3 linked regions of the Bombyx mori genome follow. The main gene of each other region encodes a partner of the protein of the gene in region 2 in a complex. Links are inferred from orthologs where the notes say so. Each region holds a gene or a part of one and is shown on either strand. Other genes may lie near its edges.

Region 1 (3,761 bases), on a different chromosome or scaffold from region 2:
GTTAACACTTCCGCCTCCGCCATTCGCCTCTTCATCATGTACGACCAACCCATACCGTCGGCCCCGAAGGTCAAATACTTAGACGTCACCCTCGACAGAGAAATGACATTCCGCCCCCACTTGAAGACGGTACGTGATCATGCCGCCTTCATACTAGGATGTCTCTACACTCTCTATCCGATGATATGCAGGCGAAGTAAATTATCCCTTAGAAATAGGGTGACACTCTACAAAACTTGCGTACGCCCTGATATGACCTATGCAAGCGCAGTGTTCGCTCACGCGGCCCGCACTAGCTTAAAATCATTCCAAGTTATTCAATCCCGTTTTTGCAGGATAGCCGTCGGAGCTCCACGACGACCTGGACTTAGAGTCCATCAGTAAGTATCTTCAGTCGGCGTCAATGCGCCACTTCGATAAAGCGGCACGACACGAGAACCCTCTCATCGTGGCCGTCGGTAACTACAATCCCGATCCTGCGGTGAGAATGGAAAGCTGTCGACGTCGCCCCAAACACGTCATTTCGGATCCTCCCGATCCACTAACAGTGCTTTTAAGTACCTCAAGCACCGGTCATCGTTCTCGTCGAACCCGTCATCGTTCTCGTCGAACCCGTCGCTTGCGACGAAGGGCTCGACGAATAAAGTAACCCTCAGACACAGCCCACTGAGTTTCTCGTCGGTTCTTCTCAATGGGTCGCGTTTCCGATCAGGTGGTAGATTCTGCGAAGCACGGCTCTTGCTAGGGTTTGTGTTAACAACATCATCCGGCTTGAGCCCCGTGAGCTCACCTACTAGTTAAGGCGACACTGATATAGCCTCTCAAGGCTATCAGCATAGGTAGGAAAAAAATAATCTAATCATACTTACTTGGCGTAGGGATACGGTGATCATGCAGGCGGTTTCCCCCAGGGTGAGGCTGCTCCATTGCACTATGGAGTGGTTGACCCTTGCGATAATTTTTATTTTTTAAAGGTTTCACTTCTACCGTGTGTGACTTGCACACACGTCACACATACATTTTTTTTTTCTTATCTAAGCTGGGTATTACGGATAAAATGTTCCTACCTATAGTCCTAACCTTGCACCTTCAGACTTCCACCTGTTTCGATCTCTTCAGAATTTTTTAGGCATTGTCAGGTTAACATCACGAGAGGACTGCCAAAACCAATTGTCGCGGTATTTTGATCGGAAGCCCCATAGCAATGGGATCATGTCCCTACCTACAAGATGGCAAAAAGTTATCGAACAAAATGGTACCTACATACTTTAGTTAAATGTAAATAAACAATATTAAAAAATGTGAATTTTCTTAAAAAATGCGAAGAAACTTTTTCCCCAACTATTGTACTATTAGAACTTAGTAGTTTAAATTTTATTAGTAATAGACAAAGACTTTAATGCTTTTAATCTAAGGATTAGGATATTATCAAAATACGTCCCAAAAATGCTTTTTAAATATAATAGATGCTTTTCAGGAGTTGGTTGTCATGACTCAAACTTATCTCAAGTGTTTCACAAACTATGGTCACAATTTATTTGAGGGTAAAGATTTTCTTGTGAAGTAATAAAAAAAAAAATTGCCTAAAAGGTAAAGTAGCCAGCGTTCGCAAAAAAAAAACTGACATGTACATTAATGTACATAACCTAATCCGTGTATTCGATAAAAACTAGTTAATTTGAGTTTTTGTTAATTTAAAATACATTTACATGTTCTTTTATTTTTAAAACTTTCAGTAAACCGTGATTATTTTTACTTTTCAAAGAGAGTTAAATTGATTACTCTTTTTTTAAAACTATATAAAAAAAAATCCTAAAATTTTGATTTCCATTTCCCCTACCTACCTAGAGTAAAATGGCTAAAAATACATCAAAAGTAGGAAAAAAAACGAATGAGGAAATCTTTGCTGGTTTCCAAACTCTTCGTAATGAACAACGTCAATTAGGGAGTAAAATATCAGAATTACAAATGGAGTTAAACGAACATAAGTGAGTAAATGTGGAATAAATCTATTGCATATCAATCTACTGCTTAAAAAAATACAAAATACATAGTAAATTATGTCTACAGGATCGTAATTGAGACTTTGCGGGGAGTGGAGTTGACCCGTAAGTGTTTCCGGATGTTTGGGGGCGTGCTTGTCGAACGCACCGTAGCTGAGGTGTTGCCAGAGCTGATCAGCAATTATGAACAGCTACCTAAGGCCATCCAGTCCCTAGAAGACCAACTCACTCAGAAGGGAGAGGAGATCAATAAATACATTGAGGAACATGATATTCGCATCCAACGTGCTGATCGCACCATGCCTGAACCACCTCCAGAGCAATCCACCTCTACCAAGTCTAATGTGCTAGTTGCTAGCGGTTAACTATACTGATCCTTTCATTTCATATAGCTGTCGCAGTGTATTGACAGTGAGACTAGTCCTACATTTGCCTAAAGCAGTGTGAGGTAGTACTGGGAAACTTTTTATTATTAACAATACTATTACGGTGTGGCTTGATAAATTAGTTCTGGCTGATGTTTAGGGGCAAGGGGGGCAAACATGGTATTATGAAGCAGTACTTTATGAATATGATGACAAGAAAAGGAAAATCTAACTGAATATCCATCTCAACCAGATAAATAAATCATTTTAGTGTGACAATACTCCAAGACACTTAACCACATATTTAAAGAAAGGAATACTACAGCGAAAACTCCACAGAGAATAATTAATTCCCCAGCTGAATGTGCTCAAATAATGTGGAATTAAACTCAATAAACAGTTTTTTCAGGCAGTAGAATATGAACCCTTGTCTAGTGGAAAGTAGTATGATAATAAACTTTAATAATAAAATAGATCTTGAACAACTTTTCAACACTTTTCATGGAATATGTAATACAAATGCAGAGAAGCAGTCTCTTTGTCCCAACAATTATGAGAATAGCTTCATTTAAGAAGTCAAGACAATATGGAGTTTTTTGTTGTTGTCCTCACCATTCTTTAACAATGTCTAAGGTGACAGTGATATATTTCTAATCAAAAACAATAAGCTTTGAATGTTTAAACTCTAAACATTAGAGTAATATATGAGAGAAAAATAATTTAAATAGTAAAATGTTTTCCACATTGTGCTATATGTATATTCCCAATGCTGTCACAGCATCTGAAGCTCACCTATGCAGAGTCAATGTGATTGGTAGGCAACTGTAATAAGTAGAAATATCACTGAAACCTTGAGAGTATTGTTTAACTGTGTACATAGCTTTAAGGTTTACTGCTATTTTGAAGTGTTTGGCCAGTTAACAAGCCTGAATGCCTGAATTTTTCATTTGCCCTTGCCCAGACGAGCATACGGCTCACCATTGCCAGGGGTAGAGCCAACTTACTGCCAACAATTTGAATGATATACTATACGCATGTCCGAGTTCAGAGATGAACTATGGCAATCAGGTAATAACTTTGTGTAAAAAGTCTCAACTGAAAAGTTAATAAGTTTGGATAATTTATTACTTGCACCATACTCTAAGTGAGCATGGTTAGATTATTACCTTATTTCTATGGACAACTATACAATATAATTAAAACTTCCTATACTCTTAGCAGGATGGTGACATTCATAATGTTGTCAGAGGTCTGATAAAATTTTAATACCAGGTGGGATGTCACAATAAAACAGTGACAACTTTTTCTGTTTCATCAGGTGAATTTTAATATGATTATAAAACATGATCATGGCTAGATTCATATTTGGTTTTAATTTTTGGAACCTTAAAAT
Region 2 (3,761 bases):
CAAAAAGGGCCCATAATGCCAAGTCTATTGTAACAAAAAATCGAACTGAAGGACGGAAAGTGATTTAAAAAAGAAGAAAGATTTTTCAGAGGTTTTAATCAGGTTAAAATTTGAAATGATAATTCAAGTATTAACCTTTTAGTGTCTCTAAAACTTATGAAGGGTAGAAAGAAGTAAGGAGCACCATCTTGAGTAGGGGAGAAGCTGAAAAATGTTAGAAGATTACTGGTGGTAGTACGTCTTATGAGTCCGAACGGGTAGGTACCACCATCCTGCCTATTTTTGCCGTGAAATAGTAATGCGTTTCGGTTTGAAGGGTGGGGCAGCTGCTGTATTGTTCCTTACAACTCATGTCTCGAGGTGGGTGGCGGCATTTACGTTGTAGATCTACGGGCTGCCGTTACCACTTAACGCCAAGTGGACTGTGAGTTAGTCCCCCATCAAGGCTTTATAAAAAAGAATAACTAAATTAGCGCTAGTCTAGGAAATGGAAATGATAGGAACATGGGAGGCTTAAGCAGAGTGAAGTGTGCTGGGTTGAAAATTTAATATTTTTTGAGACTTGCGTAAAATATTATATGGACTTTTTGGCGGGAACGCAAGAAGTGAAATTGTGTGATTTGTTTTATTTTGTCTATTTAGTGTTTCTTCAGGTTTAAATGTGTAATAACGGTGGTTTATTAACAGTTTAATATATGTGAAAGTGGACAAATCTGGGAAAATGAAACAAAGCCGCTGGACGTAACTTCTCGGGATCCTCCAACAAGTCCGCTGAAAAAATCTCAGTAAATGAATGACCACCACCATTTTACTGATATTTCATCCCACATCATCTCATTTCAATTCATTTAATTTCATCCCAGTTGATTAATGTCTCAAATTACCTAATCATCTTCATTCACTCCATAATATTTATAATTTTTCATAAAAATAAGAATACTAATTAAAATAAGACATGACCTAAAAGTCTTAGTTACCAAGTCATAAAATCTTTTAAAAAAAGCAATATTATGTGGCCTATGATGCTGTTGCCTAGCAACCAAAAACCAATGCTGTCTGTCACGTTTGTTTTCGCTAAAGATTCGCATAAACCTTTGAATATTTCTTTTATATCTATTTTTAAGTCATGGAAGAATTGAATACCCCCCAAATAATTACCCATATTGAAAATAACTTAAACCATTCACTATTTGATTGCAAGTGGATACCATGTTCGGCTAAATTTATAGTACTTGGTTCTTTACCGAAAGGCTCGGGTACCATTGAAATATTTGAAATAAACGCCGGAGAAATTAAGAAAATAAAAGAAATTGAGAGGTCTAACTCGTTTAAATGTGGAACGTTTGGAGCAAGTAGCGACATTGAGAGACGATTTGCTACTGGAGACTTTAGAGGCACTTTGGAAGTATGGTTTGTAACAAAATCATAAAATCCATACTTTTTCCGGATAATCATAAAAATCGAATGTTAATAAATAATTTATTTTCTATAGGGACTTAGAAAAAGGTTCCCAAGTGTACATAACAAAAGAACATTCAGATATAATTAACTCAATAGATGGGATGGGAGGTAACACAACCAACTGTGGAGCTCCTGAAATTGTAACTGGCAGTAGAGATGGTAAGGTTTCATGCCAAGGATTATCCTGTTACATTAAAGGGTACTCGTGTGGTGATGAGTAGATTTTCTAAATCAATATTACAATACCTTCTAAGATTTGACTACCATTAGCCATGTTGACATACTGGGATAGTTTTTTTTTTATCCTCATCAGATTTTGATTTTGTCCAAAATATTTACAAATTTTATACACAAACCTTTCTCACACTTCTATTTATATCTTTGAAAATAGTATCAAAATTTGTTAAGTCATTTAGAATAAGTAATCAGAGAAACAGACATTGGGTTTAAAACTCTTTAGGAAAAATAAAAATGGTAGTGATAACATAATAATTACTGAAATTATAGGAACAGTAAAGGTTTGGGATCCAAGGCAAAGAGGTAAACCTGTTGCAAACATGCAACCAATGCAAGGTGAGACTAGAAGGGATTGCTGGGCTGTTGGCTTCGGAAACTCATTTAATGATTCTGAAAGGATTGTAGTTGCTGGTTATGACAATGGAGATCTTAAAATGTTTGATTTGAGAACAATGTCACTTAGGTGGGAATGTAATTTGAAGAATGGAGTAAGTATGTAATTTCAAGACTAAATTTAAGATTTTTATGTCACAACTCGCAATAGGCATATTATACAACATGCATGATAAAAAGTTGTTACTGAAACCTGTTAACATCAGTAAATACAGGGTCATTACTAGTTGTATAGTAGCAGTAGTTATTCACTTTAATCTTGTCCTAAGAAAGATGTGTTATATTTTTCAAAAAGTCACAGTAGTGGGGGAGGGAGTTCATTTTAATTTTAATGTGAGTAATTATTTAAGAAAACATCAACACAATTGAAGTAAATAAATTCAGTTAATCTCGAAATTTTTATCATTATCTCAACTGGTACTCTGATGAACAATGACTTGTTATTATCTGTGTGTGTTTTAATTCTTTGTAGTTTATGATATATCCTAAATTAGCTTGATAGGTTGTTTTGCAATAGAGATATATATTTATATAACTGGTGGTAGGACCTCATGTGAGTCCGCACAGGTAGGTACCACTACCCCGCCTATTTCTGACGTGAAGCAGTAATGCGTTTCGGCTTGAAGGGTGGGGCAGCCGTTGTAACTATACAGAGACCTTAGAACTTATATCTCAAGGTGGGTGGCGCATTTGCATTATAAATGTCTATGGGCTCCAGTAACCACTTAACACCAGGTGGCCTGTGAGCTCATCCACCCACGTAAGCAATAAAAAAAAAAATATATATATATATATATATTAAATTATATCTAAGTCAAAATTAATAGATAAATATTGAAGAATTTTTGTTTGTTTAGGTATGTTCCTTAGAATTCGATCGTAAAGATATTCCAATGAATAAATTAGTGGCAACCACACTTGAAGGGAAGTTTCATGTTTTTGATGTGAGGACTCAAAATCCAACTAAAGGATTTGCTCAGGTAACCTAATGTTTTACTGACCAGCAAGGAATGTCTTTGAGAAATAAATATGAAGATTGCATGCAATGCAGAGCATTGTTAAATTTGAATTTTCCTACCCCTGCCTTATCTATTTTTACCACCATTAAATCACATGTTCTGGTGTATACTATAGTACAGCTGTTGTTCCAATTTCTTTGAAAGTTTATCTACTCTATGTATTTGGCAGAATTCTTCACATTGCAGTGTCTGTTATCTCAGCAATAGATGGGCTGTATCTCTATTCATCAGAATCCATGGACCTTAATATATTAAAAGCACAATCTATAGTTACATCAGTTAATTTAAAAGTCGTCGTGGCCTAAAGGATAAGACGTCCGGTGCATTCGTATCGAGCGATGCACCGGTGTTCGAATCTCGCAGGCGGGTACCAATTTTTCTAATGAAATACGTACTCAACAAATGTTCACGATTGACTTCCACGGTGAAGGAATAACATCGTGCTATAAAAATCAAACCCGCAAAATTATAATTTGCGTAATTACTGGTGGTAGGACCTCTTGTGAGTCCGCACGGGTAGGTACCACCGCCCCGCCTATTTCTGCCGTGAAGCAGTAATGCGTTTCGGTTTGAAGGGTGGGGCAGCCGTTGTGACTAATACTGAGACCTTAGAACTATATCTCAAGGTGTGTGGCGCATTTACGTTGTAGA
Region 3 (3,041 bases), on a different chromosome or scaffold from region 2:
AACAACTCTGAATATGCATGATAATAGCTGCTAACTTATAAAAAATCGCGTTTCAAATTAACTTCCTGTGGTGGTCATTATTTTGGTGCTAGAAACTTTGCTCTCTTTTATTTATTTGATATTAATAGAAGACGACTGTGATTTATACACGTTATTTAGTGTTTGAGCCATCATATATATTAAAGGTAAGTCTCAGTTGTTATTGGTTTTAATGTATTTGATAAAATAAAAATACATGTAAAAATCTGTTGTTTTTGGGGATATTGGGGACGTCTTAGGTACAAATAACAACGAAAAAGGGGTCAATTGGGATGAGAATACGTGAAATGGAAACGAGCTGAGTATAAATAGGTACAGGTTTGTAGGGTTGTCTATGTAGTTATAACAATATTTTTTAAATTTGTTGGTAAAAATCTTGTTTATTCATGATGTTTTTGTCTAGAACTTTTATTCAAAATTATCAATGTGTTATTTTATTGTTTGGTAAATACTTATATTATCAGTTACGTACTGTTTTCTATTTTTAGATAATGCCTCGCGTGTACGTATTAAAGAGTGCAAAGCCTTAAAAGAGATATGATCCCTTAATATTAAAAACAGCAATAGAAGCCTTTGAAATTGGGAATAAGTCTTTAGTTGAAATAGCTAAGCAATTTAATATAAGTAAGTCGATTTTGCACAGACATCTAACAAGAACAATGAAATGTCAAGGTGGACAAAAATGTCTAAGTAATACATAGTAAAATATTTAATATTTGTTCAGAGTGGGGGTATTCATCTGATTAATCCATGGAATAACCAACACACCTAATCTCTTAACCCAGATAAAAATATCAGCCCCTAAGTACTTACCAAGAACGAAAAAATATAAACCGTTTATAAGAAAGCTTACTCTCCTTTGGGACTACAATAATGTCCACGGTAGCATGGTCTCCGTCAATGTTCATTCGGAGTTGTCCGATTACGCTGAACTAATTTTAAGTGATGAAATAAATTTTTTTTAATTGTATCACAACTTACAGGACAAATCTGTCGCGGATCATTTCTCAAGTAAATATAAATTAATCATAAGTAAATAAATGTAATCAAGTTGATGATCACTTTGTTGGTGCAACTAAATAAATAAATAAATTAAAACCAAGTAGTGGCAGCCCTAGCAAATTTCTCATTTCGTCCCAATTAACCGCAATTTTCGGGTAAATAGGGATTACACCTATTTTTGCTTTTTTTGCTTAAACTGGAATGCTAGTTGCATAGTTTTAAATTGGACAACAAAGATGCCCCCAAGACTCAATCATTTCGATCCTGATATAGCATTATATACATCAACATCTACCTTAAAATTGGTCATAAAGTTGGAATTTGTCCCTAATCGCCCCATTTTACCGGTACGTAGTGACACTTGAAATTTTTTGTGTATTATCTATGGTTAATTTCAAAATCAATGTCAGACAAATGACAAAACCATAGAGAATACACACATAACCCATAGATTATACACTTAATATATTTGAGACATAACCTCAACTAAAATTTTTGAGCAGGTGAAAAAAAACGGAAAAGATTTCTGTATTAAACTGTTTATTTTCTATCAAATCATACCTTGACTGAAACACAATGGCGGAAGAAATACAAAAAAAGTTTCAAAAACAGCTCGAATTATTTCAAGGTGTTCAAAAAGACATAAAGAAAGCGGTCACTCAGAAACAACAATTAGACAGCCAGTTAAATGAAAATAAAGCAGTCAAAGAGGAACTAAAACTCTTAAGAAAAGATTCAGAGGTATACAAACTCATCGGACCCGTATTGGTGAAGCAAGATTTGGAAGAAGCCAGACAAAACGTCTCCAAACGTATGGAGTACATTAGCAAAGAAATCAAAAGAACAGATGATCACATATGTGCTTTAGAAAACAAACAAGAAGCACTGCAAGAAAACTTAAATAAACTTAGAAATGATCTTGGCAAACTAAAACTAAAAGCTTGAAAAATGTGTGAATTAAAAGTAAAATATTTCTATTCTTCTATTATGACTCACTTGTATGTTTAGAGAACTACTATTACAAATAAAAATATTACACATTAATAATTTAATGTATGTTTAGCTATGCAATAATCATGAAAAAACTGCTGTGTGGCATTACACTAAACTTACCTCTTCCTTTTGTTAACTCAATATAAAAATAAAAAATCTTACTGAAAGTAAGTTTTTATTTTACTGCCATTGCAGGCAGATGTTTGTGGCCCTCCTGATGTCACCATCACTCATAGACATCAGATATGCCAGGAGCACAGCCAAACTGCTGCCTATTATTTACTTATTATTTATTTTCAAAACTAAAATATTTTGTTACTTGTACATATTTATTTTTGTGTGTATAAGCTGAAAGTTTGCAAGGTAATTGACGGTATAATGAGTACCATTAGTTTTGAAACCAGATTCATCTTAGAATAATTGTTCGCTTCTATTACCAGTAGTTTTGTATATTAACCTAAAACCATATGACAATCTAAAAAAAATTGGGTAATTTTTTGTTTTTAAATACCTATTACAAATGTTATGTATTGCATTTGTATACAAATGGTCGGCATAATTTAAGCTGGCAGTGGAGAAAGTGCACAAATGTAATTTAATAAACTTATTCTAATTATGTTTCCAATGATTTATTCAATAATTAATACTGCTCATAAAGAATACAGGCATAAAAAAAATTGTGTCTTGAATCTCAACATAGTGCAACTTAATCACGTTCAAGATACTCATTCTCCTGCATTAAGCTACATAAAGCTAAAGGCATTGAAGTTACAATGTGTCACTATAAAAAAAATACACATTTATAAGCTTTTGTACCCAATTTAAGAATTATATTGTTCCTAATGAATCCCAAGAAACTGTAACTTTAGTATTAATAAAGTTTGTAACTTTCTAAAAAAAATACCTTTTCTTTTTATGCAGTCTACATTTCTTGAGTCACTGTTCATTACTGAATTAGGATATCATCCATAGTTCTCTGCGACTAGCCTTTTTGAATGCAGAGAGCT

What was found. Proteins that work in one complex are often made in the same cells at the same time.
Region 1: dynein axonemal assembly factor 10 (region 2) and prefoldin subunit 2 share a complex: the UniProt entries of both Homo sapiens proteins name them as parts of the PAQosome complex. The link is inferred for Bombyx mori from reciprocal best matches to the Homo sapiens genes DNAAF10 and PFDN2.
Region 3: dynein axonemal assembly factor 10 (region 2) and prefoldin beta subunit share a complex: the UniProt entries of both Homo sapiens proteins name them as parts of the PAQosome complex. The link is inferred for Bombyx mori from reciprocal best matches to the Homo sapiens genes DNAAF10 and PFDN6.

The regions. Positions count from the first base shown.
Region 1 is NC_085129.1:193,867-197,627, forward strand, and holds the start of prefoldin subunit 2, read left to right. Parts: upstream 1-1,498; 5' UTR 1,499-1,854; coding exon 1,855-1,988; intron 1,989-2,070; coding exon 2,071-2,368; 3' UTR 2,369-3,761. UniProt on the Homo sapiens protein: Binds specifically to cytosolic chaperonin (c-CPN) and transfers target proteins to it. Binds to nascent polypeptide chain and promotes folding in an environment in which there are many competing pathways for nonnative proteins.
Region 2 is NC_085131.1:9,119,395-9,123,155, reverse strand, and holds the start of dynein axonemal assembly factor 10, read left to right. Parts: upstream 1-1,024; 5' UTR 1,025-1,126; coding exon 1,127-1,410; intron 1,411-1,492; coding exon 1,493-1,620; intron 1,621-1,968; coding exon 1,969-2,186; intron 2,187-2,948; coding exon 2,949-3,071; intron 3,072-3,761. UniProt on the Homo sapiens protein: Key assembly factor specifically required for the stability of axonemal dynein heavy chains in cytoplasm.
Region 3 is NC_085112.1:4,987,527-4,990,567, forward strand, and holds prefoldin beta subunit, read left to right. Parts: upstream 1-1,486; 5' UTR 1,487-1,617; coding exon 1,618-1,986; 3' UTR 1,987-2,475; downstream 2,476-3,041. UniProt on the Homo sapiens protein: Binds specifically to cytosolic chaperonin (c-CPN) and transfers target proteins to it. Binds to nascent polypeptide chain and promotes folding in an environment in which there are many competing pathways for nonnative proteins.